4 linked regions of the Drosophila melanogaster genome follow. The protein of the gene in region 1 interacts with the protein of each later gene in a pairwise test. Each region holds a gene or a part of one and is shown in the gene's direction. Other genes may lie near its edges. The genes, in order: bab2, 7B2, Cpr56F and Argk2.

The links.
Region 2: the proteins of bab2 (region 1) and 7B2 interact in a two-hybrid assay, tested with the Drosophila melanogaster proteins (one large-scale study listed by BioGRID).
Region 3: the proteins of bab2 (region 1) and Cpr56F interact in a two-hybrid assay, tested with the Drosophila melanogaster proteins (one large-scale study listed by BioGRID).
Region 4: the proteins of bab2 (region 1) and Argk2 interact in a two-hybrid assay, tested with the Drosophila melanogaster proteins (one large-scale study listed by BioGRID).

The regions. Positions count from the first base shown.
Region 1 is NT_037436.4:1,172,251-1,180,349, reverse strand, and holds the start of bab2 (bric a brac 2), read left to right. Parts: upstream 1-3,073; 5' UTR 3,074-3,369; intron 3,370-5,742; 5' UTR 5,743-5,852; coding exon 5,853-7,592; intron 7,593-8,099. UniProt on the Drosophila melanogaster protein: Probably acts as a transcriptional regulator. Required for the specification of the tarsal segment. Also involved in antenna development.
Region 2 is NT_033777.3:5,374,199-5,381,111, forward strand, and holds 7B2 (7B2), read left to right. Parts: upstream 1-2,581; 5' UTR 2,582-2,733; coding exon 2,734-2,752; intron 2,753-2,800; coding exon 2,801-3,612; 3' UTR 3,613-3,777; downstream 3,778-6,913. Other genes in the region: hd (humpty dumpty), read right to left, coding at 35-192, 252-299; CG14667 (uncharacterized protein), read left to right, coding at 893-1,018, 1,080-1,726, 1,789-1,902, 1,959-2,085; kkv (krotzkopf verkehrt), read right to left, coding at 4,440-4,622, 4,698-4,799, 4,869-5,234, 5,290-5,490, 6,447-6,623. UniProt on the Drosophila melanogaster protein: Acts as a molecular chaperone for neuroendocrine convertase amon/PC2, preventing its premature activation in the regulated secretory pathway.
Region 3 is NT_033778.4:20,286,760-20,295,865, reverse strand, and holds Cpr56F (cuticular protein 56F), read left to right. Parts: upstream 1-3,920; 5' UTR 3,921-4,032; coding exon 4,033-4,038; intron 4,039-5,315; exon of another isoform or gene 5,316-5,433; coding exon of another isoform or gene 5,434-5,542; intron 5,543-5,636; coding exon of another isoform or gene 5,637-6,187; exon of another isoform or gene 6,188-6,321; intron 6,322-6,354; coding exon 6,355-7,002; 3' UTR 7,003-7,495; downstream 7,496-9,106. Other genes in the region: CkIIbeta2 (casein kinase II beta2 subunit), read right to left, coding at 5,434-5,542, 5,637-6,187; CG34199 (uncharacterized protein), read right to left, coding at 7,604-8,170, 8,228-8,239.
Region 4 is NT_037436.4:9,044,527-9,051,490, forward strand, and holds Argk2 (arginine kinase 2), read left to right. Parts: upstream 1-2,912; 5' UTR 2,913-2,969; coding exon 2,970-4,136; 3' UTR 4,137-4,198; downstream 4,199-6,964. Other genes in the region: Doc1 (Dorsocross1), read left to right, coding at 1-331; Argk1 (arginine kinase 1), read right to left, coding at 4,750-5,833.

The DNA.
Region 1 (8,099 bases):
TCAGCTCCTTCTCACACGTTCTGGATCCTGCCGCTCCTGTTGACAGTGGACTACGGTAGGAGCCTCTTTACTTATATTTTCATTTGAAATCAATGCCCTCTTTCAGAGGGTCTATCGATCAATCATGGATGCTTTTGTTAAAATGATTTATGAAACACTTTTATCCCAGAAGATTTGAAGGAGTTGATAGACTCGTCTTCAATGTTGTATGCCATGTAAGGGATATCGATTAGCCATTTTGTTAAGGGTATTTGTGCAGCATCGACAATCTAATTTCGAACTCCGGCCTTCAGTGGCTTTGGCCATTTCCTGTCGCCATTTCTTTGGCAATCGCTTTCTCTTTTGACTGCAAGTGTGTGACGGTATTTTTTTTAAGCACTGGCTGCTGGTTGGCTGCAGATTTGAACTCTTTCGCTTTGCCAGCGGATGTCCTTTAAAGGTCCTTTAGCGTGGTTTCCACACCGTTGCCCCGGCCACTGCCCACACACTTTCTTCACGCTACTCCGATAATTTCACTTTGAATTTCCTCATCGCAGCCTTTCTGGAGAACGGAAGCGCGCTAGTTTCCTTTCCCAGCGGACCGGTTAGTTTTCCGCGTTCTTTTTCCAACAACTGTTGGCTAAGTCTTCGGACTTGTCAAAGCGGAAAGGGCCTTCATTTCCGCCTCGAAAGAGCCGCCGCGTTTCCCTTTTTCCAATTCGCTAGCTGACCAAAAAAATAGTAAAAAAATCGAGAAAGGAGAAATAGGTAGGCAAAGGTGTATGCTAAGCTAAGTTTTTAAAAATACTCCTCTGAAATTGTTTATTATTTAAGACACGATCGCGAATTATGCTTGCTTCTTTTAGTTCGACTTCTCAAACACAGAAATTTGTCGAGATTTTTTATTGAGAAACTTCGAAAATTTTAAATTTTTATTTTTATCCATCATCGAATCGTATTCTAAAACAAATTCTATCTAATTTTTATCAACAATAAAATGAAGTTTTTATTGATCAACACACTGCTACCTACGCAGGTACTAAATTTGATCTGCATAAATTATTTAAGTTTTTATTGCGGCCTTGAGACTCAAAAAATTAGATCGATATTAATAGTTTAAACATATTTGAAAAATCTTTTCATGTTACACATGTAGAAAACTACTACACATAATATGCAATCCTATAAATAAGACTCCTTAGTAATACATTCTTCCTTTTCTCCTTTCTACATAAGCATTGAAACATTCTGGTGACAGGTGACAGTATTAATCAGAGAAAAAGGCGTAGGATTTTCGAGAAAAGGATTCCCCCCTAAGATGTCAAGGCCCCGAGAAAAAAAGGGGAACCCTCAAAGAGTGGGGAGAATCCAAGCACCTTGCCGCCGATTCGCCAAACGAAGGCCGCAAAAAATAATTTGCGAATTGCCACGCGTTTTTTAGCCCATGTGTGCACCCCCGATTTATATATGCAGATATCTATATATAAAAGTATTTGGCCCCCACAGACGCACACACGTATATATTTATATATATATATATAGATATATTTCGAGTGGTCGGGCCAATCGGCGTCGAGCACGAAGTTCGCAGAGGCTCGTGGAGGCGCCCGAATGCCAAAAAGGTCAAAAAGAGAGAGGGCAAATGGAATAAAATATGCAAAATATACAAAATAGCACACACAAATACAGCGCACACGGGCACACGCACACACAGGCAAACGCAAAACAAAGGGGGATTTATTTTAGTTGTTGTTATTGGCTGCGCAAAAAACAATAACAACGGCCTATAGATGCTGCAATAGCAGCAACAACAACTCCTATTAAAAATGCGTTTCCATAGGCGCCGCCTACCGCGTGACGTCACTAGCTGCACTTGCTGCGTCTTTGCCTCCTTTTCTTTCAGCTTTTCCTCGTACTCTTTTCTTTTTTGCTCTTTTCGGTTGCCACCTCCAAGTTTTCGTTTTCGCGGGGCAGCATGGGGAAGAGGAAGCAGAGAAGAGAGTGCAGCCGAAGCTTTTCGTTTGTTTTCGCTCGTCTTTCAGCCGTTTTTTTGTTGTTGCTCTGCTCCCCTTCTTCATGCTGGCTTGTGTGTGCGTGTGTAGGAGCAAGCAGCTTGCTGTCCCACTCGCACTCGCGCCCTCTTACGGCACTTTTAGGGGCGTGGCCAAGTTGTGAGTGTGTTGCTGTCGCCACTTTTTCTCTGCTCTTTTTTGCCATAGTTTCTGTGCCTAAGCAGCAAAAGCAACAACAAGGAGGTTAAGGATGATGCAGAAGAAGAAGAAAGAGGGTTGGCAACTATTTTGAAACACTTTCTTACTGGACATTGGCCAGTTTCTCTTTCTTGCCCCTGCTGTTGCTGTTGTTGTTGCTGCTGCAGCTAGGTTGCAAGTTGCTGTTGCTATTCTCTTCAAGTTGCAGGTGTAGGCTGCAATTTTTTCGCGACCTTAGCATGCTGCTTTGGCGATTTGTTAAGATTTTTGCGATTTATTGGTAAGCATGGCATTTATATAAATAAGAGAACTTATTTCAATAAGTATTCAAACTAATTATAATAAATATGATTCGTTTTTAATTGTAAATGAAGTATGTTGATATAGTAAAAACTACTTTCGCAAATTTATGTGACAACGAAAAAAAAAAGAAACGTTGGGTCTTAGACAATTATATAAAAATCGTAGTGAAATGTATGTTTTTTATGATGAGAAATATGATTCGAATAAAAAACTATTAATCTGTACTAAAATGTATAAAAAAATAACAAAACAATTGCATTCCAGATTAATAAAATATGTTCTCCTCTTATACAATCACGATTTCATTTTAATTATAATTTCTAACATTTCTAAAAATTTCGAAATTTTCAATTTTTTTTCAAGCAAGATCTCTGAAAATTCAAAACAAAGAAAGCAAAGAGCACACTTACTTTCGCTCTTAAACCGCCGCTCTGTCGATTTCCCAATTCGCCGCAAAAACCGGAAAACACCACGCCGGCGCTCTCATTCGCCGCGAGAGAGCGGGCAGCGCAGCTGACGTCGGCAGCGCGGCGTCGAGTTTCATTCAATTTTTTGAAATTCAGTTCGTTTATCTGTGAGATTCAGTTCGTATCTGACTTTCGGCGTGAGTGGAGTGCAGCGTTTGTTTTTACGGCCACTGAAAGCCAGCAACAACAACAATAATACCCACAACAACAACAACAACGACAGAAGCGGCAGCAAAGACAGCAAAGCAAAAGCAACAACAAGTGACGTGCAACAACGACAAGCAGAACAGCATGTGTTGCATGCAGTGAACAAAACAAACAGAACATAAACACAAGTATTCTGTTAATATTTAATAAAACAAGAAAGTGAACTAAAAGTGAACCCATCGAGTGAATACCAGACGAAAAATGTATGTGTGCGTTGATTATTATATTAATTATGGTGCTTTATTTATGACAAATGACTGGGCTGCAATGAAAATCGATTTTATACCTCGACCATGTACTATTCTACATAAGTTATCCAGTGGAAATGCCATCCCCGCCAGACCCCCTCGCACATTTTCCGCGCATTTTCCTTGGCGCTACCAAAGAAATTGTAATTTATTAATTTATAACACAAGCCACCCAGCGAAAAGGTCGTAAAAAGCAATGTTGCTTGGTCGTTTTTGGGCGCCCAGGAAAATTAAGAAGAAAACCCACTCGAAGGAGCAACTTTTCCTACAGCTCCTGCCTTTCCACAGCTCCCGCTTTTCCGAGTGGGTGGCACGCGCCAAAAACAGTTTGTAAACATTTTGCACACAGCGAAAGCCGAGCGAAACACGAGAAAATCCAGACTGTAATTTATTACTTGCTGCATAAATAATAAATAAGCGTTAATAAATAAATACAATATGCAATATATAAATGTGTCCGAGCGCCCGCACACCGCCCCCCCGTTTCTCAACGTGTATTTGTGTTCGTTTTTGTGTGCGGGCGGGCCCACTTTAAGGATACAAAACCTCGAGACTGAATTAAATAAATAAATACAGAAATAATAAATAAATAAAGTGCCCAGCTTGCCTGCTGTTTTATTTTTTTGGCTGCCAACAGCTGCGCTTGCTATAAATAATTAAACGAAAATAATATATTACGAGGAAGCAGGAAAGAAGAGTGTGGAAAGGCAAGAAATCAGGGAGTTTGAAGTATTTAGGATTTCGAGTCAGATACTTGTCAGCAGTTATAATTGTATATGAAGGAAAAAATTAGTTTTTTGCTTCCACATTCACGAAAAACTGAAACTCATTCTAAAACATAATTTTGAATTTATTTAAGGCCAGGCTTTGGTAATAAATAAATGAAAATCTTGAATAATCATAAAATCAGCTTTGATGTGTCGACTTTGGAGATGTGCGAATCTTCTGCATTTGGCAATTTACTTATTTATTTATTTGAGGCCGAGTTTTTCCCAAGAATCATCAAATTTAATGCGAGCAGCCACGATAAAAGCAACAAACATGAATAAATAAGGGGAATAACAAAAGGCGGAGCGCGGCCATAACAATAAACCAAAAGTTGCCAAGAGCAGCAGGAGTAGGAAGAGGAGTAGGACCGATTTTCCTCCGCAGCCCACAGTTCGGGAAACTCTGAGGATTCGGGGTAGCTCATCAGCTCCTCAATTCTCCAGCTGTTCAGCTCTTCAGCTCCCTCGACGATGAGTCCATGGATTCGTATCCGGATCCAGAACAACAATAAAATAAACAAAAATAATAACTGTGGACGGCGCCGAGGAGCTGCGGCCGCAAGATTTAATTGGAATGAAATAATAATAAACATAAAAAGTAGCAAGAAGAAGTATTATAATAACAATAATAATAAATATAATTAAATTTCATGGCGGCAGCAACTTTCCACCCCGACAAAAACGACCCAAGCGAACCGAGCCCAAGTGTGCTGCACAAACACACATAAATTAAAATTATACAAAATATTTAAATAAATATAATTACTTTGGGCCCACTCTCTCCGAGCTCTGCCATAAATAATAATATTTAATTAAATATAAATCTATAGACGGGCGCTGTGCGCATGCAAGTGTATCCAGAGACAACAATACAAAATAAGCAATAATCGCGCGCACACACTTACAAAGCCGCTATATACGCATCCATATATAAATATATATGTATATGCATATATACAATATATATATGTATGTATATAGATATGTGCGTATAAATACAACAATGAGCGGCGGAGACTACGAATAATTGCAGCTCAGTAATATAAATTAAGCCAAATTAAACATAAATAAATGTGTGCTTAGCTTTTAGCTAATAAAGCACATTTCTGGCCTGGGCGTTACAGTGGGTGGGGTTGGGTGGTGGGTGGTGGGTGGCGATTGTTCGGCTGGTGGCTGGCAAATACTAAACATAAATTAATAGAAATTCATGGAAATTTCGACTGGCAGGGAGATGGGGCAAGATTAATAGGCTTATTTAATAGAGTTATGACTAAGAGCACAAATGTGCCCGCTGATTCAGCTTGATGTGAATAAAACACTTGCCACGTTCGTTATCGTTATAGATCCCAAAATATATTCGATTGGCAGGGGGAATAATGTGGCAGACAAGATAAAGCCATATTATAGCCAGCATTCTCTTTGATTGGCAGTTAAATATCTTATTCCGAGTTAATTGAAACAAATTAAATGTATACAAGACTTTCATACTAGCTGTCCATATATTGTATGTTACATATGTCAATCCCGTTCGCACAATCATGTGAGTTTTCCTCTCTTTCAGCTTTGAACTGCTCCCAGGAAAAGTTCTCGTTTCGCCCCCGAAAATGTGTTAGAAATCCCGCAGAAAACCTGCAAGACAACCGATAAGAAGGAAAACTCTATAACAGCACCATGGACATGACCAAACAGATTGTGGACTTTGAAATAAAGTCGGAACTGATCGGCGAAATCGATCAGTTCGAGGCGAGTGACTACACAATGGCTCCACCGGAAGAGCCTAAGATGGTGGAAGAGTCCCCCCAGTTGGGTCATCTAGAGGACCAGAACAGAAAGTACTCACCCGAAAGGGAGGTTGAACCCACTCTGCAGGATCCAAGTGAGGTGGTTGATCAAATGCAAAAAGATACGGAGAGCGTTGGAGAAGTCAAGTCACCCGAGAAGGATGTGGAAACGGAGCTGGTGAAGTCCAAGGCGAGTCCGATGAACGACCAAGCTTTGACTCCCCCACCACGACCTCTGACCTCCAGTGAAGTGGTGGGTCTCCGGGATCCCGAACATACCGAGCTGCGCATGTGCCTGGAGGCCAAGAAGTCGCGCTCCCTACCAGTTTCCCCACAGCCTCAACCAAATCTTAAGCTAGCCGGATCGGCGCTCTTTGAATTCGGTCAGAGATCCTCTCCCGTGGAGACCAAGATCAAAACCAATCCAGAGACAAAACCGCCGAGGCGCAAAATAGTTCCTCCCAGCGGCGAGGGGCAGCAGTTCTGCCTGAGGTGGAACAACTATCAGTCTAACCTGACCAATGTCTTTGACGAACTCCTTCAGAGCGAGTCCTTCGTGGACGTGACCTTGTCCTGCGAAGGCCACTCGATCAAGGCACACAAGATGGTGCTATCCGCCTGCTCACCCTACTTCCAGGCCCTGTTCTACGACAATCCCTGCCAGCACCCCATCATCATCATGCGGGACGTCAGCTGGTCCGACCTGAAGGCCCTGGTGGAGTTCATGTACAAGGGGGAGATCAACGTCTGCCAGGATCAGATAAACCCCCTGCTCAAAGTGGCCGAAACCCTGAAGATCAGGGGTCTGGCGGAGGTCAGTGCGGGCAGGGGCGAGGGAGGCGCCTCCGCACTTCCCATGTCCGCCTTCGACGATGAGGACGAGGAGGAGGAACTGGCCTCGGCCACTGCAATTCTGCAGCAGGACGGTGATGCCGATCCCGATGAGGAGATGAAGGCCAAGAGGCCCAGACTGCTGCCCGAGGGAGTCTTGGACTTGAATCAGCGACAAAGGAAGCGGTCCAGGGATGGCAGCTACGCCACTCCAAGTCCATCCCTTCAGGGCGGAGAGTCCGAGATCTCGGAGAGGGGCTCATCCGGCACTCCGGGACAGAGCCAGAGCCAACCCCTGGCCATGACCACCTCCACCATTGTGCGCAATCCCTTCGCCTCCCCCAATCCTCAGACCTTGGAGGGCAGGAACAGCGCCATGAATGCAGTAGCAAACCAGAGGAAATCACCAGCACCAACAGCGACAGGTCACAGCAATGGGAACAGCGGCGCCGCCATGCACTCCCCACCCGGGGGCGTGGCCGTCCAGTCCGCCCTTCCGCCCCACATGGCCGCCATCGTGCCGCCACCCCCCTCCGCCATGCACCATCATGCCCAGCAACTGGCCGCCCAGCACCAGCTGGCCCACTCGCACGCCATGGCCAGCGCCTTGGCAGCCGCAGCCGCCGGAGCTGGCGCAGCGGGAGCGGGCGGAGCAGGATCTGGCAGTGGATCGGGCGCCAGTGCTCCGACTGGAGGAACAGGAGTGGCGGGAAGTGGAGCCGGCGCGGCGGTGGGATCCCATCACGATGACATGGAGATCAAGCCAGAAATCGCCGAGATGATACGCGAAGAAGAGAGGGTGAGTCAATAACTAAATTTCAAACCATATGTTTTTATCCCAAGAAAATATTAGTTTTAATCTAGAACACCGAGTAATTGTATATACAAACTTTTAATAATTATGAGATCATATCAACACTTTCGTAACACAAGATATATCAAGTGATATTAGTCATGACTTAACAAATATAATTGCTTGCTAAAGAAATGAGTAAGGTAAATTAAAAAGTTATTTCCCTTGAAATTGCCTGAGGCATAGCGATTTTTCCAGCAAAAAACACGTATTTATTAGATTCTCTGAGAGCTTCAAAAGATTTAGATATTTTGCACATTTCTCTATGAATTCCGCAGCAAGGCCCTTCTAATAGAGTAAATAAGTAATTATGATCGAGAAGAACAGCTATTGTAAACACTGGATATTGGATAGCAGAACTCACAAAATCATGAAGTCATGAGGTGAGGCAGGTGATCAGTGATCGCTGTGACTAATAGTGGTGTTCTACTTGCATGCAAATAAATACATTGT
Region 2 (6,913 bases), on another chromosome or scaffold:
GATTTTGGGGAGAGCGAGAGAGAGGGAAACTCACTTCGCAAACGGATTTTTTCGCTTCTGGGCGAGCTTAGCCTCCAGTAGCTTGCTTTTATCCGTCTCATCCACTTGGTGTCTTGGCCGCCTATTGTTGTTGTTGCTCACGCGGGCTGCCAATTTGTTCTTCTTCTGCTTGAGCCGCTGCAGTTTGATGAACTGGAAAACGAAACAACAACATTAGTGGCGGGCAGGTGCTCCTCCGAGTCCTTACCCACGTCATCTGGGCGCGTCCATTTGGAAGCCACACTCGCTTCGGTGGACATGTTCAATGTCTTGGTTCGCGCACAGGACCTTCACGGATTATTTAAGTACTTTGTGAACTGCAAATATCTTCAAAACGTTTGCAAATATCACAAAAAATTATGGCGCGCAACTAGGGGTGTGAAATCTTTCGATTGATTAGCTCGTTATTCGCTATTTTCGCCCATGTTCAATTCCCAAAAATATCGTTAGTCGGCAAATAAAACGAATCTCACAATTTAACTAATTATTTATTATAATAGATGGAGTAGTTTACAAAACGAAACTAACTTAAATTGTATATCACTGGCTGCAGGGGCTATGTTGGTTAACAATGGCATTGTTGGGCATCGAATTTGATTTTTTAATTTTAATGGTTCTTTTTGGATTTACAAGCTTCTAACCTAAATTAAACAAGCGCATGTTGTATCGTTTTAACTATTAATAAAATCAAATGAATAAAAAATCTTTTTGCGCTATAAAAATGTATCTGACTATCGGATTCACCGATAACAAATCGATTAAGCACTGTCGTTTTTCCAACTGTTTTATGATCTGGTAACACTTTCCGTCGCTGCGTTTTATGCTAAAAGTAAACACATTAACTTGATAAACAATGAACCTCGCCGACGTTTGCCGTATTTGCGCCAACAAAATTATGGGCCACCAGCGAGATCGCAACATATTCATTCACATGCGGGGAAAATATTTGGGTCAACTGAAGCTAATCACGGGAGTGGAGGTAGGTCGTTATGTCAGCTTCCGACCGCGCCAACAATTGTTATTACCTGGAATTTGTTCAGCTGACAAGAAACCAGGGGCTGCCGGAGATTGTTTGCGAGCGCTGCTTCTCCGAGCTGGACCTGGCCACCAAGTTCCGCGAGCGGTGCATCTTCTCGCAAAAGTACCTGCTGGATATCATAAAGAAGACCAGTGATCAAAGCACTGTTCACGTTGAGCTTAGTTCCGAGCCGCTGGACGAGCAACTGATCGATGCGGATCAATTGGAGACGCACTACGATGACGACCAGTACGTTTGTTATCAAGGCACGAAAGAGGAACACCAAGACCTAGAGGAAATCGAGCTGGATGACGACCCCTCTGCCGCTGTGATAGCGGCAGCAGAGGCGGCAGCAGAAGCGGCGCAGCAGGAGGATCTACAGGAGCAGGAAATGGAGCGGGCCGCCAAGAGGCGCAGTAACTTCTTTATCTGCGACGAGTGTGGAACCCTGTTCCACGATGCGTTCCTGTACACCGAGCATTTAAATGGGCACCAGAACCGGCGGGATATGAACCAGTTCTTCCCCTGCCCTGAGTGCCCACAGACTTTTAACAAGAAGGCGCTTCTCAAGCAGCATCGCACCCAGGTTCATTTAATTAACCGCAGGTTCCAGTGCACCATCTGCCACGAGGCTTTCGCGTCTCTGGGCGCTAAGTTGCGGCACGACAAGTAAGGAGGCTGGGAATTGAATGCTAGCGCAGCACTATATGCAACTTCCAATTTCATTTTAGAGCCCATAAGAACGAACGACCTTATCCATGCCTAGAATGCGGAATGATCTTCAGCAGCGTTTCCGAATTGCAGAACCACTTTTCGACACACTCAAAGCAAATCCGAAAGTTCAGGTAAGCTTGTCAGCTTGCGCAGTCATATGTCTTAATATCGTATTTTTTGCGTTTAGGTGTGAGCCTTGCAACATGGATTTTATAACTCGCCGAGGCTTGGTGGCCCATACAAAAACAGCACCGCATAAGCGCCTTGCCAAATATATGCAGGATGAATTCGATTTCATCGAATTGGCAACCTAACCCTCAATTATTACCACCTTCTTTCTAAGTAAATGCTAAGGTCAAAAAAATAAATCATAATTGAGTAGTTCAGTTTACTACTTCGCTACCATAATATTCGACAATGGAGTATCGGTTCAATGTTATTTTTTTATAAGTGTATTTTTAATTTATTGAAAATAAAATTCCTTCAGTTTTACTTTCAAGTCATTTTTTATAGTTCATACTTTTAAATTAAGGAGGGAATGGAAATTTATAGCGTATTACCGTGTAACATAAACCTCTAGTCATACAATTCAAGAAAATAAAGTTTTCTTAGCGACTAAGTTTTCTTATTTTCTTCCAGCATTTTATACTAATAAAGCTTAAAGAGGCCTGAAAACCTCAGCTCCAGCAGTTTGGCGCTAATCTAATTCTCGGCCCCCCACAGGACTGCTTCAACATAAAAGAGCTTTCGAGTACGGCGCATGCGTCCTTTCAGCTGTGGCTGCCATAAGGCAGCTTCGATTGGATCTGCGTATATTTCGCAAATTCAACTGGTAGCCGCCGCACGAAGCACAGAGCCCTACGTCACGTTAGTATATACACGGAATCGGAGCAGCTGCCGCCGAAAAATCAATACCTTACCAAACTTCGACGTGGACGGTTGAAACCGCTTGGAATCGCAATATGTTGTTCCGTTCGCAAAGTAAGTCTGCTGAAGTAATATTTATAGGTGGGTGAGGTAAGAGAATAGCCCATGTTTTTCCAGGTGTGTACATGATGGTGGCGATGCTCGTGGTCGCCTTGAGTGGCTACCAGGTGCAGTCCTATAGCGCCAAGGATATTCTTGCCGATGTCTTGATGACGGATCTGCTGAATCGCATGGACAAAGACATGCAGGTGGGCTATTACGACGTGGGCAACGAGGCAGCCGCTGGCTCCAAGGACAACGTGGACCTGGTCTCCCGGTCGGAGTACGCGAGGCTGTGTGACGGCGGAAGCGACTGCATCCTGCAATCGGGCTCGGCATCGGGAGCTGCCTCCCATCCTTCGCTGCGGGATGACGAGTTTCTGCAGCACAGTTCGCTGTGGGGTCACCAGTTCATCTCCGGCGGAATGGGAGAGGGTCCCAACAGGTATCCCACTATAGTGAAGAACGACGCCGGCCTGCCTGCCTACTGCAACCCTCCTAATCCCTGCCCTGAGGGCTACGACATGGAGACGCAAGGCGGCAGCTGCATTGTCGACTTCGAAAACACGGCCATCTTCAGCCGGGAGTTCCAGGCCGCTCAGGACTGTACCTGCGACAACGAGCATATGTTCGACTGCTCGGAACAGGATAGTGCTGATGTGGGCGGCGACAAGGGTGACCTGAACTCCGCCGTGGAGCAGTACATCATGCAGATGGGCCAGGAGAACAGCCTGAACAACGTTAACAGCCTGGCTAAGAAGGCCGGATATCCTGTGATGCCCGATCCTCGGCTGGACGACGCGGTCATAAACCCGTTCCTCCAGGGCGACCGCTTGCCCATAGCCGCCAAGAAGGGCAACCTTTTATTCCACTAAGGTAACTCGCTGATAACGCGAGCATACACGACGTTTCCATATGGGTGTCTAATACTATTATCTATCATAGCTGGTTATCAATGTTGTCCCGCAAGCGATGTCTAGTAATGTTTCTACCCTTTCCCGAAAATAAAGTTATTCGTATAGTACCAGGGCTCTAAGCCGAAAATATGCGGGTATTGGTCTAAACTTGGGGTAGGGTCTCCACTACCGAAGGTGGGTTCGGATGTAGCTTATCCTTGGGATGACCCAAGTTTGATGAGAGTGAGAAATATCGAATATCTGTTTGATGCTTCTATTTATTGTTTTAAAAAGTTTTACAATCCATCAAATCATCAATGATTATTCATTTAAAAAGAACTATCCTCGATATGTCGTCGAGTGTACAAATAGGCCACTGCGGTTCAGCTCCACGTTGAGTATTTTGTGTCAGCATGCACTGGCCGCGTGTTTCGGATGATCCACGCGGGTATTGACTTAAAGATAACCTAACAAATGATAGTATAGTACATCGCATGAATGTTGCTGCCACAGTGGGCGATCAGCCACCCAATTATTGGCACACATCGACACTGGCAGTGTGATTAGCTAAGCATAATGTTCGTTCTGTTGCCATGAAGCCTTATGAACGACCTGATCCTTCTGAGCCAGAGTGTCCTGGCTCTCACTCGCGTCCCTATACATACTATACAACACAATCCTTCCTTCTGACTACAATTCTAGGTATTGGCTTAGTCTTAAGTTTAGGCAGTTGATGGAAAGAGGCGGAATTCGTTAACAAGTTACCTAGGTCTAACTTAGCTCTACGTCTAGGATGGGCGGGTCCTTCACAGGCGACCTGTGCCATTACCGCCGCCGCCGTTGGTGTTCTGGCCCCAGGAGACCTGGTGGTGCGGGTGGGGATGGGGATTCCTGGTGGTCAGCCGCAGGGAGTTGCCGTCGCCGTCCTCGTCGATCACATGCTCGTAACCCTGGTTGATAGTGCCGCCCCCATTCGAGCCGTAAATCTGCTGCAAGTGTAAGCGGACGTAACAAAATATTTCCATGAGAATACACATATTTTATGATTATAAATTGGCCTTTACCTCGGCACCACCACCGTTCACATTGAATACATCCTTGATGCTGATGCCTGCATTCGAGACACGTCCGCTTCGCTGATTCGGCAGAGCTCCATTGTTGTTAATCTACATATATGCATTAAAGAAGTTATGATCCTGTATCTAAAATTTCTCCAAAAACTTTTCTAATCTCACCGGTGCTCCAGTTGTGATTCCGTACTCGTTCTTTGCTCCCAGAGTTTGCATCGCGGACTTCCGCCTTTCGGCCATCACCGAATTCTTACGCACCTCCAGTGCCCGGATGGTCTCCGCCCGCATTGTCAGGCGGCGGGTGAGAATGGGCGTGGCCGGATTGTTCTCCGCATCGGCGGTGAGTTTCAGGAAGCGCTTCTTGAACGCCACATCCAGGGTGCCGATCTGGCGACGTGGCTGTCGCGCCTTCTCCAGATTTTGAATGGTCTTCCGCCTGGCTATGCGATCTGGCCCGGAACCGGAGTCATTGTCGTAGTCGCCATCGATTCCCTGCAGCCTCTGCAAGTTCTTGACGATCTCCACAGCATGCTAAATAATATCATAATTTTATTATTTGTATTAATGTCAATTACGGGCCACCTACCTTATCTATTAGTTGGTCCTGTGTCAGATCCTCAGACTTCTTCTTGCAGAAGTTGAGTTCAGTCGAGGCCAGGATGTGCGAAATGGTTCCAAATCGATGGAACAGCATGGCCGTGAACTGGATTATCAAAATAAGAGCAAAGAAGAATACGAACACCAATCCGATGGGCTCCAGCTGAAGGTACTCCTTGGAGATGTGCACCTATGGGGGATGAGTAATACGATTAGCGGGGCCCTGAAGGAGTTGATTTTGGGTTAGTGACACTGAACGATTTGATTGGTTGACGGTTTGGGCTTGGATAATGGCTGATCTTGATACCAGTAGTCGGTGATTGTGGCATGTTGAGGTTGAGGTTGTGGTGTGATACCATTTGGGAGGTAGGTTATATGTCGGGTTTGGTTTTATTTATATATTTATTGAACACATTGATGTCTGAGGAACAATGAACATGCTGGCCGCACCTCTGGCCCTTGTGTACAGAACTGTGATTACTCAGAGGGGGATACTTAAGTATGTTGCTTACAGTTTACCGTGTTGTCATTTTAGGGCTAACTGTTAGAACCGCGAAAATGCCAAGATGTTGTTCTGTTGTTTTTACATGATGTATTCGTATGATAAACAGCCTGAACCATTAGGATGGGGCTAACAAGGTAAACGGGAGTACCGAGAACAAAGAGCATCATTAGCTGTTTGGTGATGTGACATGTTGGACATGTTGGGTAGTAAACATTTAGAGAAAGTGAAACTGAGGAGGACAGGCAGGAAGTTAGAGGACCCGTCCGGAGGTTTTAGGGTAAGACAAATACACTATGACAGCACAGTTGTGGGTAATACTATATAACATCGAGAAAAGCTTGTGTATAAACCTCGGATGTCTCTTCGATATAGGTAATGTTGGTTTTGACGCCCAACGGCCAAATAATGTGTAGCTTGTCCTTGTTCAGTTGCAACAAGAAGACAATCAGCACGAACAGGGCGTTGGCCATGAAAAACGCAAAGACCGACTTGTTCCGCAGCTCAATCAGGTCGGAGGCAATGCGGGCCTTCATTTCGATTCAGTTTGGATTCAGTTCGATTTCAGATTCAGATCGTGGCGCCAAAGAAAGAATTATACCGAAAAAAGAGTAGTGTTAGTTTGGCGTGAAAGCAGCAATTACCTCCTGGGTGGACTCGTCGTAGGTGATGTTCGTCCGCACTCCGAAGGGCCACTTCACGTGGATGTTGTCCTTGTTCAGCTGCAGCAGGAACACGATCAGCACGAACAGTGCATTGATCATGAAGAACGCGAACACCGACGAGTCGCGCAGCTCCTTCAGATCTTTGGCTATGCGGGCCTACAAGAGCGTTATCCGATCCGGCGATAGGGGTTAAGTTATGTTCGGTTCGGTATTTTCGGGATGAGGGCTTTTCCGGGGAAAATACTCACAGCGAACCATAAGGCTGGCTTCGGCGGGCCGAAGTTTAAATACTCTACCATACTACACATCTATATGGATCTATTGTAGTAGACTAGATCTAGAAAGTGTTTATTATCTTAAAACTAGGTTTTTAATAGACACTTTCTCTCCGAAAGTGGGCATCAATCTAACTCAATCTAATTTGAATCAATTTTTGAACAAGCTTT
Region 3 (9,106 bases), on another chromosome or scaffold:
CTGCGGCATTCCATGGCCAGAGACAATGGACCATTCATCCGATGACCTGTGGGGCAAACCTCAAACGTGGCACGCATTCATCGAGGGTTCTTCAATTGATTTCGGCCATCTAATGTGGCTCAAACCAAATCCGGAATTGTGTAACAATGACTAAAGTGCGCTGCACGCCAGTCCCAAACAAAAGGCAAATTTTTCGGTAGCTGCAACACCATCATTATTGTTGCCTTGACTGGCAGTGGGAACCATCTTTATGACCGCTGGGGCCGTAAATAAATCACAGGACCCATGCTCCCATCGCCCACAAAATGCAATGTTTAGTCACAAGCTTTTATTTGCTTTGGTTACGTGTGCGTACACATGAAAATATATAAAAAACCGACATAAAATCATGACGTTCATTTGTAAAATTTATTGACTATAATTATAAATGAATTCAGTGTTTCATTCTGAGGAAGACACCAATTTCGTTGGCTCATAATGTTTAAAAGTTATCCAGTTAAATTACAGAATCAAAAGCCATGTTCTTTGTCTAAACTTTACGTATTTACTTTTTGAGAACATCGATTTTTTTTTCGGAGTGTATAGGCCGACATCAATCATTATTCCCCTGCCTGCGCCCGAATTTAGCCGCATATGAATGCCCGTGCCACAGCTCGCAGACCAGCTCCTTCTGCCCCACCGTTCTGTTTCAAGTTTAATTGCTTCGCATACGTTTTAATTATGCCGAGTAGTAGTGAGATCCAAAAGCCCAGAGCTGCGAGAGTTGGGCTCCACTGAATGGTGCTGCACTAGCAGCAACTAATTTGGCAATTTGGCCAACTGCACAAGGCGACCTGTGTGTTAGTGTAATTACTTTATGGAGTATGGAGTGCACTGTGAATGCGTCTTTTATGACAGCCATTGAGTTGCAGAGCGATCGAGATCGGGTCCATCGCTCAAATGCCATAGGTGAGTGGAGCCACGGAGGATGAGCGCCAAAGATTCCCAGGTGCGACCTTCGCGTGCCTTCGCCTCTTGACGGAATGTTATCAATAACTGACGACATGATTTTCGAAGTTGTTAATTAAGACGTTAAACGAAAATAGGTGTTTAAACGACAATATTATAGATTTATTTCATGGCCTTTTTTAAGCAGATTTGCTTTCTCAATTTATTAAATAAAAGGTAAGCTTTCTTTATAAATAGGTTCTCGGAAGAATCTGTTGTTGAGACCCCCAATTTCCTTATAGTCATCCGTATCATAATTCATCCACACCCAGCTTACTCACATCCACTTCAGTTCACTTTAGAGCGGTTCCAAAATGTCAAAGTTTGGCAATTTTGTGTGTGAGTCAATCGACTTTTACTCCGGATTCTGGCAAAAGGCAGCGACCTTCGCGTCGGGCGAAAAATGCAGTCGGTGTGCGAAGAAGTCGGAGCCACGGAGATCTCGAATCCAAAATCGCTCTCGAAATATCATCATCTAGAGTGGCACGGCATATTCAAAGTGAGGCGCAATTTACATCAAAAGACGCCTTAATTGATTCTGTCCGTCTTGGGGGGGCATTGCATCAGAAATTATCGTAGTTTAATTTAAATTACACGTTCGCGGCGCTCCACTCGTCAGCATTCTAGGTTACAAAGCAAACATAGATTCGGATCTGCAGATACAGATACGGATACATGTATGTATTTCAAGGTCCGCCCCTCTCGAAGCTCTAGAGCAGCCATCAGAAATTACAAATCGTCATTGTCTTCGACTTGGCGCATCATCACCTGGCTGGGTGCCATTAGCTTCCTCTCCATCTCGATCTCCATCTCCATGTACAACTCCAAGTCCAAAACTCCGTCTAGATGGCCTCTCTGTCTGGCACGTTCAATGTAAATTAGCCGATGCAGGAAATTAAATGATTTTTTAATGTGCTGGAAAAATGATTACAAACGTAAAAAAAAAAACAAGCAGAAGACTGAAGCTGAAAACTGAAAACCGAAAACAGATTTGAAGTCGTTCATGGAGTGCTATTGAAAATGAATTTCAGTTTTGGTTTCCGAGACAAGGAATGCGGCATACGAAGGTTTATTTATTTAATTGTTTTGCTTACATTTCAAGATTCATATTAGCCATTATGAAGTCAAGTCTTAACTGCTCTGCTATAATTTCTGTTTGTTTATTTGAATTTTTCGCATTCGCATATTTGCACACATAACTCCAAATGATCTTGGTAATTACAAAAGCTTGGCTGTATATTCTCTAATTTATTTTTATTGTGGTCTGTGGCAAGGTCGAGTATTACTTGCAGAAAATCACTTGGGGGAATACGCAGCGAGGAAGCAATTCCATCCCACCCCATCCCTTCAATCCCTTCAATACCTCATTAATTTCCAGCTCATTTGGGGCGTGGCTTCGCACGGCCTTTAAATTTACAACTCATAAACTTGGCATTATCGAATGTGAAAGTCAGCTCGTGCCAAATCGCAAAATAAGCAGGGTCCGTTATAACAAAATGATAAAAATTTTAATTTGCTACGCATTCGACCAATGAGCCAAAAGACAATTGACCAAAGAAATATTTGCAGATCGTGATGGATGCTACGCCCACTGTTTAAATGAACATGGAATATGGCAATAAAAATATTGAATTACTTTTCCCTATTGTCAAGTATTGTGTTCGAGTATTTTTAAAGAGTTCAAGTTTCCTTTGTTATGCAATCGACTTTTTAATGGGATAAATAAGTATCCAAAACTATTGAGCATACACATTTCAATACGTTTTGCAGGAAATGGACAAATAGAAAAAAAAATTATGTTATTTTTTTTAAATATGTGTTTATTTTAAAACTTATTTCTCTCTACAAATTATTTGTTTATAAAGTAAATATATAAATAAATTGATCTCATTTAAATTGGAGCAATGTTTCACCCATAAATGAATGTTGAAGAGATCTTTAGGTAATTTTGATTCGCAAAGCAACTACAAGCCGTTACTAATGCTCAGTTTAATAACAATCAACATTTTCGACACCAGAGCGTATCTTTCCCAGCAAGGAAGATAACGTATCTTAAAACTCTTTTTCCCTCGCTGTGCTCACAGCTCAATTGCAGCTTATCCGACTTGAATCCATGTCAACGCCAATCCAAACGGACACATTTGTGAAGTCGGGGGCATAATCCAGCTCATTAGTTGTGCTGAAAAACAAAACCGAGCAAAACCCAGCGAAAACTCCCACGCACTAAGGGGAAACAATTTGCAGCAGCATTGCCTGCAGCAAGTTCGTTGCCTGAGTCTTTTGTTTCTGCTTCGCCTTTCGAGGCGGCCGCCGCTGAAGCTGCCGCACGACTGAAGCTGAAGCCTCCGATGCGAGATGAAGATGCGTGGAGCAGCTGCCTCCGCTCACTTGGCTTTTGGACGCTACCGTCGACGTCGCTGCCCGCTGCCTGCTGCATGACTAATTCCATTACAAATAAGTGTTTCTGCTATTACACGAGCGGCAACAAATGTTTATGGCCTGCAGCCGCAGGAGCGCGGTACTCCCTCGTCTCATTTGTTTGAATGTTTGGCACTCATCTTCGCTCATTTGCCGAACCCGACCGCAGATACGAAGTCAGCATCGTCAAAATGTTTGGCGCTTTAATTTCCAAAGTAACTAGTTTACTATAACAAATCCACCTCAAGCGATTTCCCTCTTTTCTCGGCAGCACCACCGAGAGCGATTTGCTCTTCCTCAGCTCCGTGTGCTTTGCATTATTTTGTAATGTTTTTCAAGTGCTCGTTCGGCACTGTGGCACTCATTTTTTTCTCGACTAACCGAAAATTGAAATAACGAACTAAGCTGAACAAAAAACACACACATTTTGGCGCGCAATTTTTTGAAGCCGACGTCGACGCCGCCGCGTTAGCTGCTGCTCATTTCAAATATAAATACTGGCCTACGAAATTGTTTCAGTATCACAATCAAGTCAACCATCTTCGCAAGAAGAACACAGCCAACAGAGCAAAGTTAACAAAAACCGTTTTCGTGTGTGCCAAAATCCCAAACAAGTGACAACACAAAATGAAGGTATATAGCCGAATAGAACTTTCGAGTCAAGTGCCAAGTGGTGTGCTGTGTGAAAAAAAAAAGTCCTCACAAAAGGATATGGGCAGCCAAAACGAAATACAATGCCTCATTCGGCATTCGGGAAACGATATGACTAAAGGATATAAAACTTGAATAGCTATAAAGATCATTCAATATAGGTCCTTTATTAGATACAGTTTCGACCTTTTGTTAAATTTTCAAAGGATATTGAAGTTTGCTGTAGCTAACATACAAACAACGTTGGGTTACAAAATCTTAGAATGATCAAATAAACATCACAATATTTGCCCATATCTTTTTCTGCATTGCAAAGGTGCTAAAATATGTTCGAATTTTGTATTCATTTTTCTGTATCCAATCAATAGCCCTCATTTAAAATCGTTTTTGGCAATAGATCGATCAATCAATTAAACAACTCATCAAACTAATGAAGCTTTCATTGTCTCACATAGCACTTAATCAGCTAATCGGAAGGAAAAGACATGAAATATTAATATTTGAGCCATATTAAAAGTCAAGTTCAGCTGGGTGATTAATCAAGCGGAGATCCGCATAATAAATTTCATAAGTTGCCATCATCATCGCAGTTAAGATTACCATCAATTTGTTTAGGATAGCTACTGTTTTTTATGGTAGGTTGCGGAATTAGAACACCGATATCATTCGCCTGGGAAACAATTGCAACCAGCGATCCCAGTTCATTTCTAGGGTGTGGGTAACAAACAGAAGCAACAACAGCTGCCGCTGCTTGGGGTCATTTTGCAATGAATAAATTAGAGAAACTTTAAGTGGCGGAAGAAGAACTACTGGACATGCCCAAGTAAGGCAGTCTGGAGATGACCAGGCGGCGATAAAAAAAAAATACAGACAAAAGCGCAGCCAAAAAGCATAGCATTTTAACGCCAATGAAGCATGAAAGTCATTGACGGCCCTGTGCCTAAACACTCGGCCAGAAGATCTTTTGCACAAGATTCGGAAATAAGTTGTGTAAGAGTGAGCCGAAGTGGTTCTCCCACAGGTTGTCCGCGCCACACGGCGAATACTTAAGATTCAGACGCATTGCGCAAGATCACGAGATTAGCCCTTCACTTGCAGCCCAGCTAAATCCAATCCAATCCGATGGGAGCTTCACCTGGGACCCAATTACTACAGATTTGCATATGCCTCAGCTAAATGCTGTAAAGATGGGAAAGACAAAGCCAATTCTGGGCCTGCTCGCAGGCCATCAAATCCAAACAAAAGATTGTCAAGCGGGTCACAGCCTGAGCAGTTATTGTTATGAGAGTTTAATGAGCTGGCAGCCAGCCGGGCGAACAGTGCCCACTTATTCGAGAAGTACGCGACAGTTGCTTATGAGAAATTTTAGCTTTAGGATCAAATGTGGGATGGGCTATCGATTTCTCCTACTGGCGTCATTGTCACATCTTTTTGGATCTCAGCGGCAGTACGGTAGGCCGTGGGGTGGATTTTAAAGCCATAAAGCCTGGGAAAACATAGTTACATTAGTTATACATTATTAGTAACTACCTTAAAAACATAGGGAAATAGAAGGAAACACAGGAAACGGAAGATCTAACCTGGGCACAAACTTCTGCTTTGCCCGCTTGGGCCTAGCATCCGGTTTCTCCATAAAGAACATATGAGGGAATCCAGTGCCAAAGAAGGCTCCATCCAGATTCGAATGTCTCGACGCCTTGGGAATGTACACATCATTGCACTTGGGGCAATAGATGCGTACCATATCCTCGCCAGGATTATCACTCAAACCAATGGGCAGCACCGGCTGGCTATGGCAGAATGCACGTGGACATGTGCCGAATTCGCCCTTGTTGTACTTGTCCAACATCAGTTCGATGCCCCTGTTGGTTAGGATAAAGCGAGCATGGATCAAGCCATACAGTTTCTCTGCACTAGCCTCCAGTTCTGGTTCAGCGGGGTCTTCCGAAGCTGAACCCGGATTAAGATCCAGGATCACCTCCAAGGCACATTTGTAGTTCTTAACGTTCGAATCAAGAAAGTTAAGGTTAAACTTGTCCTGGATATATTCCTCATCCACCTCGCAAAAGAATTCGTTGCCACGCTGCTTGCAAAACCAATGAATCCAGGAAGATTCGTCCGAATCGGTCATAGCTGCTTCTTTTAAGCTTTAATTTAATCAGTCAAAATCACGAGAGCTTAACAATAGGACTTATTTAATTTCGAATGACAGCTGTCAGGGACGGAGTGTTCAATCAAGGGTTGTCAACTCAAAACGAAAACTGTAATGTAAATGCAACCCTGAATTTTCATTCCCAGGCTTTTACATCCATTGCCCTGCTCGTGTGCCTGGCTGCCTGGACCCATGCGGAACCACCAGTTCCCCAGAACCAGTACCTGCCCCCCAATCAGTCGCCTCAGGCGCCGTCCAACAACTACCTGCCGCCCACGCAGGGCTACCAGTCGCCGTCGAGCAACTACTTGCCACCCCAGCGGGCCGGTGGCAATGGAGGAGCGCCCAGCAACAGCTATGGCGCCCCCATCGCTCCTCCCCAGGGTCAATATGGTGCTCCAGCGCTGACTGGTGCCATCTTCAAGGGCGGAAACGGAAACGGAAACGGCGGCTATGGCGGCGGTAATGGCAACGGCAACGGCTACGGACAACGGGATGAGGAGCAGTATGGACCGGCCAAGTACGAGTTCAAGTACGACGTACAGGACTACGAGTCGGGCAATGACTTCGGCCACATGGAGTCCCGCGATGGTGATCTTGCTGTGGGCCGCTACTACGTCCTGCTGCCCGATGGACGCAAACAGATTGTTGAGTACGAGGCCGACCAGAATGGATACCGCCCAACCATTCGGTACGAGCAGGTCGGCAATGGCAACGGAAACGGCAATGGCAATGGTCGCAACGGTGGCGGTTATGATAGCAACGCGCAGCAGGGCAAATTCAACGGCTACTAAGATGGGGAAGTGAGGATACCCGATTTAGGTCGACCCCGCAACTATACTCGTCTACTTCATGGGATCGCTGGCCGAGTATTAAACGCACATCCAGCCAGTGGGCCAGCGATCGCAGTCAGTCTATCCATATAACCCTATTCCCATCTCTGTGCATACCCTTAGTGGGACGCCCGCCATTTTGCCATAGACAGGCGCGTTCCTTTCCGTTTCCGTTTCACTGCTGTTCGTTATCCTGTTTTCCGTCTCTACACCTGGAACTCCTTGCCGTTTTGTTTTGTTTAAGCGCCTTCATTTTGTGTTAGTCTACGCACACACTCCAACACACCATTCACCCACAACATGACCATTACGCATTCATACATACATGCATAAGGATTGTATTTAGTTTTTAAACGAAAATGGAAATTCGAAAGTGAAACGAACTTATGAGATTTTTGTGTATATTTAATAATTATTAAATGAATAAAGAAGCATTTTTGTATAAAACAAAGTCAAAAAGAAAAACCAAACTGTTTTTATAATTAACAAGATAATTCATTCTGAGAATTGAATACATTGCACAACTCTATTTTACATATTCAAATAGCTATATCCAAATTGCCTACTTCAGGACCCGCTCCAGTTGTCCCTGTCTGTTGTATCGATACACAGGATCCTTGAGTTGCCCCACAGTGGAGTAAGTCAACTGAGCCGTAAAATCATCTGCATCTGCATCTGCGTTTTGCTGGGAGCTGAAAGAAACTCTTTGTAGTTTATTGTCCTGCGAAATGACGAAGTAACGTCCCTCTCTGATTTTGGGCTGCTGATTGTCTACGATATTTTTTGCAGTAACTGGCTCCTCATCATCAGGATAAATGATTTTAAATTTCGGATCTGCCGGACCGTACTTGTTGGACGGTCGTGAGGTGGGCAAAATCTCTTCCTCGGGTATATCCAGTTGATTTGGAGGCAAATAATTTGGCTGGGGCTTTTCCACTGGATCGAACTGGTCCACTCGTGCCTTTGTGATTTCTACTCCCTGACTTGATCGGATAGCAGGCACATACTCGTTGGGTAAGTTGAATGGAATCTGCGGATGCCAACCAGTTGGTGCATAAGGTGCTATACGTCCACCGGTAAAATCCACTTCAGCTTGTACAATGGCCACAAATGGCAGCAGTAGAAGCAACTTTAGGAATGCCAAAAAGATTTACGTAAAAATGTTTATTAAATAGCCACATCATACCTTTGTCACCATTTTAATGAACGGCTCGATTGAAACTGCGGTGCAATATTTGGGATTTGCTCATTTTTATATTAAACAATTGGAACCATTGCAATATTTATCATGCCGGACACGCACCTTGTTCGTCTGACACCAATTGGACTGCATCTGTTCCATCTTCGGACTACATAGTCACGTATCCAGCCGACAAAAATAAAAAAGAATCAAATGCACACAACCTTGACAACGGATGAGCGAATAATTGGCAAAGGCTCAACTTTGGTTTTGCTTTTAGATGCACATAAAAAGTGAAAGTGTTATAAGAGCATTAATTTGCAAAATAATTTATAGAAAATCTAACTAAGAATACATTTCAATGTAATTATTATTTATTTAAGTGCGTATGCATTTCAAGAATATTGAATAAATGCAACTTATAAAACGCTTAGCAATTTACAATTTTCGAAAATACGTTATTTCTAGGGTAACCACATTTTAACTGTAAAGTCGTATGCAGCCACACTGCTGTGTCGTGCATTTTTGTATCTTCCGCATGCTGCCCTATAATCTACGACATACGGTCACACTGCGCATGTGGAACTTTAAGAAAATCTGCAAAACATTGACAAAATTATTAAATTTAATAGCTTAATCGGACGAATAAGAGTGTATTTATGTTGATTAGTTGTTGTCTCTGAGCCAGTGGGCAATGTACACGTGCTTACTATGCCTAAAACCGAGGAATCAGCGAGATTTATGTGACGAAATTCCGTAAACAAATCAGCGTGCAGCTCGAGAAGAACCTGGTAATACAGAATTCCTTAAGAGGAAACCACTCAAGCTAACATTTCATTGTCTTCCAGATATGCGGTAAATTCAATAGTATGCCCCAGTGGCCAC
Region 4 (6,964 bases), 7.9 Mb from region 1:
TTTTGAGCAGGACTCAACGGGTAGTGTTTCGCCAGCTTACTATGGAGCAACTCATCCAGTTGCCAATCCTATGTCGCCGTATCTCCGCCATCACTTGAGCTATGGACCCAGTGGAGCTGCCGGATTGCCGCCCAGCATTGCAGCTGCCTATTTTGGTGGAGTTCCTCCGCAGATTCTGCCAATGCCACCAGCCACATATGCGCCAACTGTCGCGCCTGTTAGTCCTGTGGCCTCGCAACCCGTTGGCTCCAGCACACCCACAACATCACCAAGGCCTTCAACCTCAACGAAAAGAAATAGCTTCAGCATTTCAGCCATTTTGGCCTATTGAAAGAAATATTTGGTAAACATACTTAAGTTGGAGTCATCTTCTGTTGTGATTAGTGAGAAACGTGTGCATATACTTTGTAAGCTAATCTATGCTACATATAAGATCGTTTAAGAACCAAGCTGCAATCATATACATTGTTAATTCGTTTTAAGAGTCTTTGGTCAAAATAAACAAATCAGACATCGAATCCGTAGAAAATGCAAAACTATTTGCGGGGGGGGGGGGAGCAACGGTAACCTTCAGCGTTTCCGTTTTTACAGGTTTTTGGCCATATCGCAGTGCCTGGGCCAAAAGCAGTTATGCGACCGCTTTGGCGGGCCTAAGACAAATTAATGCTCTCCATTATGGTGACCAGTCGGTTCTCGAGTCACACGTATCTGAAAAACATCCAACTCCGGTAGTAGTTAAAGCAATTCTCCAAAGATAAGGCGTCCATTATGAGCAGCGATTTGACGGCTTTCAGGCTGTTTGGTCTTTGCCGACTCCCAGCTCCCCTGCGATTCCATCCGCATCCCTGGGACACAGAGATGACGCAGAGGTGGGTGCACGGAGAAAAAAAAGTATCACACATTTCAATTCAACTAAGTAAGTTTTGGCTTATGGTATTGCTAATAGAAATGGTTTTTAAAGTAAATTTAAAGAAAGAAAAATTCAACATTCATCTGATCATTTCAAAATCGAAGCACTTTTCTTGCAGTGCACTTGCTGCTGTTGCCGTCTTGTGAAATTTTCGTTTTATCGCACCTTTTATGGCCATTGGCCAGGCCAAAACGAAGTGGGAGCTGGCCAAGAAACCGAAACAGAAACCGATGCCGAGTCGGTTGGAGAGACTTTGGTGTGGTCACTCCTTGTGTGCATTATCGTGTCAAATGCGACAAATCTGTCTGTGGCCCGGCGGCTGCCTTTCAGCTTGCATAATTGAGCTGATAACTCGGCGCTCCGTGGATGTGTGCGGTCCACTTTTGAGCGTTTCCTAAACGGTGGCGCCAAACATTTCGTGTTTAATATTTTTAATTAAGTTTTTAAGTGCATCCAGAAGGAGATGGGACCACAGAGAATTTATCTAGCCAGTCGTTGCGGATAGTTCAAAGGGGCAACGAATCGATTTGGCTTCCATTCATAGAAATCGATGCATATATTATGCATAATGTAAGCCAAATCAGCGCGAAATAATTCACCAGCCACACGAAGCCGCGTTTCAAGCGGCTTTTTGACTAATTTGGGCTTAGTTTTGTATTAGCGCTTTGTGTTTCTCCTCGTCTTCGATTGGATTTGTTGGTGCATAAATTTACATTTGAAATGCTGAAACAATTAAATTATGGGATTTGCACGTTTTCACCCAAAAACAAAAGGGGCCAAAACAACATCAAATCACATTCGTTGTCGGCGTCTGTGCCTCAGAAGTGTTTTTTTTTTTTAATGTTAGGTGTTTTTTTGCTGACTCGCTGCTGGCTTCTTTTTGAAAAAACGGTGGCAAAAAGCGTCAAAATTCGTAGATTATGAGATAAAAATGGAAATCGAAGTCGCTCCGGTATTGCATTTCTAATTTGCGCTTGTTTTAATATACTTAATGAATTTTTATGTGTAGGTTGGTCCAATACTCATGCCCAAATCCAAATCCGGTTTTCGTTCGAAGCTGTTGATAATGATAATGAGGATAACGATGCTTTATTGAGGAGGTGTTGCCGTTCGGATCTGAATTTTATTTGCGCCACATGTTAGCATATTGTTGTTGCCGCTGCCGCTTTTGTTGTTCTTTATTGCTAATTATAATATATTTGATTTGGTATTTAAGCTTTAAGCTATAAAAATGTTCGCATTCTCTGTTTTACGAGCCAACAGCTTGCAAATATTCAATTAAATTGTGCGAACGAGAACAGGTCGAGGTGGATTGTGAAAACTAATCATAATTAACACACCTTTTTCTATAATGTTCTAAGTATTTTATTGAAATAAAAAAAGTCAAAAGGAAATAAAACATAGTTTTTGGTTTTGATGGCTTCTACACCCGTATTAAACATATTATATAATTACATTAGTAATATATATCTTAGAAAGTCTACATTTAAACAGAAGAACTGAGTGTTTTAAAACCAGTATTTGAGCTACCAATTTTCGATGGGTTTTGTATACATTTCTTAAGCATTTCCCTGTATTTTACATATTTTACGCATTATTTTACACATAATATTTTACATTTGCCATGTATTTTACAATGGTTTGGAGCCGTGCTATATGAGTACACTATCAAACAAAATTGTTTCTTAAATGCATTATTGTATTTTTAAAAACCATTAAGTGAATATCATATAACGGTTCTTTAAAAAAGTATCAATGAAAATGATTTCTTTACTTTAGCGCAAAACCATAGTTGTGAAAACAATTTTTAAATCCATGAGGAACTCAAGTATATCAAAATTTACTTTATACTTTATTTATTTCAAATTTACTTGTACATAGATTGAGTCTTTGCTTAGCAATCTCCTTTCCGATATCTATTAAAGTGGAGTTTTCAACCGTCTGTTTTTTGTTCGTACTAAATGGCGTTTTACTAGATTTATTCTAGCCATTTGGTTTAATGTCACTTTCTAACTTAGGGTCAGCCTGGCCGGTGTCATTCCAAATTCAACACCTAAAAATGCTGTTACATTTAAAACTCCGGCTTGAACTTCAATTACTAGGCCGCTGTGCGCAGCTAGTAATCAATCGCCATGCCAGCAAAGGAAATGTGGACAAGGAGGTGATGGAGCAAATGGAGAAGGGCTACAAGAAGTTGGCCGAGTCGAAATCCAAGTCCCTGCTGAAGAAGCATCTCACCAAGGAGATCTTCGAGAAGCTAAAGACGAAGACTACACCCTCGTTCAACTCCACACTGCTGCACTGCATCAGTTCGGGAATGTGCAATCATGACTCCGGCGTTGGGCTCTACGCCCCCGATCCGGAGGCATATAAGGTGTTTGCCGATCTCTTTGATCCCGTCATCGAGGAATACCATAAGTGCTTCAAGAAGACGGACAAACAGCCGGCGACTGCTTTCGGCAAAGGCGCGGATTTTGAAAACCTAGATCCCGATGGCCATTTCATCGTATCCACGCGTGTCCGTTGCGGAAGAGCCGTCAAAGGATACCCCTTCAATCCCTGCTTAACGGAGGCTGACTACATGGAGCTGGAGAGTAAGATTTGTGGGGCAGTGACTAGCCTCACCGGAGAGTACAAGGGTAAATACATGCCATTGACTGGAATGGATAAATGCATACAGGAGCAGCTCATAGAGGATCACTATCTGTTCAAGGAGGGCGATCGATTTCTGGCTTCCGCTGGAGCCTCTCGATATTGGCCAACGGGAAGGGGCATCTTTCTGAATAGCGCCAAGAACTTTCTGGTCTGGTGCAACGAGGAGGACCACATACGCATCATCTCGATGGAGAAGGGTGGCGACCTGGGCAAGGTCTACGATCGCATGGTTGGCGGCGTGGAGGCTCTCGGCAAGCAGCTGCAATTCAACAGGGATGAACGACTTGGCTTTTTAACCTTCTGTCCCACCAATCTGGGCACTTCTATTCGCGCCTCGGTGCACATCAAGCTGCCCAATCTAATGTGTGATCCCGACGAGATGAAAAAGCTGGCCGACAAGTATCGTCTACAAATCAGAGGAACCTCGGGCGAGCACTCAGAGGCCAAGGGCGGAGTGCACGATATATCCAACCAACGCAGGATGGGACTAACCGAATACGAAATCATCAAAGAGATGCACGATGGAATCAAGGGTCTCATAGAAGCCGAGTGTAAGGCAAAGTCAGCTTAGTTGTAAAGCGTGAAGTGTACAAAAGGTTAAAGGCCGTGATGAACTCTAAATAAATAATAAACTAAATATTTGTATACCCTATATGTCCTCTATATCCATTGAATACAAAACATTCATTGAGTTTTAAGTTTTTTTTTTATTTTTTTTTTAATAATTTTAATTCTTTTATAAACTTAAGACTTAAATAAAAGTATTTAAAGTTCCTTTTTTTGTTTTTGCTTGACACAGATGTCAAAATGTTTTACATTGTTTGGTTGTAATTAAGCAAATGTTTTTGTCAAATAGTTATCCGTTGTTGCTGCTGCTGCTGTAGGTGTTGATGGTGTTGCAAGATGGGATCCCTGCCTGCGCCCGCGACCCTCAAAGTATACGAAAATGCCGAAGGTTGCCGGACTGGGACAGCAGCTCCACACCATAGCTACAAACTAGACATATTTGCAGTTCGAACCGCCCAAAAGCGACAAGGCGGACGAGCCGAAGATTTCTAAGTGTTGCTGTTGTTGTTCTTGATTGTTGCGTATGCCCCGAACTGGTGGCACCCGTGGATAGATGTTAACTCCGGAGGCGATGCACCTCCAGCCGGGGGGACGATGCTCGGCGGTTGGCGGGCAATTTACAGGCTCTTCTCGAGCTTGATCAGCTCGGTGATGCCATCGTACATCTCCTTGACGGCCTCGAACTCGGTCAGACCCATGCGACGCTTGTTGGAGATGTCGTAGACACCACCCTCAGCCTCGGTGTGCTCACCGCGGGTTCCGCGCACCTGCAGGTTGTACTTGGCGGCAACCTCCTCCAGCTTGGCCTTGTTGGATGCCAGCTTGGGCACCTTGATGTGCACGGAGGCACGGATGGTGGTGCCCAGGTTGGTGGGGCAGAAGGTCAGGAAACCGAGACGGTCGTCGTGGCTGAATGGCACACGCTTCTCGATTTCGTTGACGGCGGTCACCAGACGCTTGTAGATCTGGCCCAGATCACCACCCTGCTGCATGGAGATGATGCGGAGATGGTCCTCCTCGTTGCACCAGACCAGGAAGGTCTTGGCATCGTTGTGGTAGATGCCACGGCCGCTGGGCCAGAAGCGGCAGGCGTTGGCGGCCTGCAGGAAACGATCGCCCTCCTTGAACAGGAAGTGGTCGTCGATCAGCTGCTGCTGGACGGCCTTCTCCATGCCAGTCAGGGGGTAGAACTTGCCCTTCAGCTCACCTTCCAGACCGGACAGGGTGCTGCTGACCTTGCTTTCCATCTCCTTGTACTGGGCCTCGGTCAAGCAGGGGTTGAAGGGGTATCCCTGCATGGAGCGACCGCAACGCACGCGAGTGGAGATCACGTACTCGTTGGTGGGGTCAACGTTGCCGAAGGTGGACACATCGCCAAAGTTGGAGGCCGGGTGCTTGTCGGTCTTCTTGAAGCCACCATGGTAGTCCTCGATGATGGGATCGAACAGGTCGGCGAACACTGTGTAAGCCTCGGCATCGGGAGCGTAGATGCCGACGCCGGAATCGTGGTTCTCCAGGCCAGACTGGATCACATCCAGCAGGGTCGACTTGAAGGTGGGCGTGACCTTGTTCTTCAGGTTGTCGAAGACCTCCTTGGTCAGGTACTTCTTCAACAGCGACTTGGAGTCGGAGGCAGCCAACTTGGCATAACCCTCCTCCAGTTTAGCGAGAACAGCGGCATCAACCATGGTGTCTTGTTTGCTGCAAAAATACGTAGAGAGAAGGAGAGAATGGGGTATTGACCATTAGTAAAAGGGCGTGGCTGGGGCGACAGTACAACATTTTATTGCTACAAAGGACTCGCCTATCTTCATTTTGTGGCGCCCAAAAGTCGGCAACATGTTTTCTTGTGTTTCTGTTTTCCTCAATTCCTGCCTGTTTGCCCCGCAATTAGTTTCGGGTTATGGCCATGTGCTCATACTCGACTTGGGTCTGTGGCACGCGACTGCCACATATACCCACGCTCCCTTTCCCCTTCAGCTCGCTACACCCAGAAAGCAGTACCCAGAACCGAACACCCATCACCCTTGATCCCACAACGCCCCTTTTTTAGTGGTGGTGACTCTGGTTTTGTTTCTCGATTGTGTCCTGCTTTCGGTGGTGGCTGACTGACTATAAAATTTTGCCGGCTGCCGCTGAATACGCAAATCGACGGCACACTATACACCCACCACCGCCCTCTGCCTTCCTCCTGTCGAAGGACATGCGCACTACAACAACATGGCTACCCAGCCGAAGTCCTGGACAAAACGAAGGACCAGGGCAATAATAATTTTTTTATGGCACTTTATTTTTGGCCGCTTTTTCGACAGAGCAGCGTTCATGCACTTACACACACACACACATGACGTCAGCCCCCTTCGGTCGGTCGGTCACCCAACCAGGGGATATACAGACAACTCCTGTCTAGGAGTCGTAGGCCCACTACAAAAAAAATTGAATATAAGAGCCCGGAACTCCGGGATACACACCCATCTCCTCCAGCGCCAGCTGCCGTGGCGGTACCATTGGGTTCGCCATTGGCCACCTCGCCCTCGATCACCTTCTCCTTTTTGTCCTTGGAGGCGCAGAGACCCATTTCGCGTGTGGTGTTTTTTTTTTGTAGGGTTTGATGTAAAGTTTTCAAAAAACGTTTAAAAATTTGGCGTTTGCTTGGTCACAAAGTCGGTATTTTGTATATAGAAAAAACCAATCTTCGTATGTTTGGTTGCGTTTGCAGGTAAAATGAAATCACAATGCAGCTTTAGCTCTTCAAGGATCTCGTTTTGGGATCCTTATTTTAGAACACACACACACTCTTTTCTCAGACACAGACGCACGCTTGGCTTAACG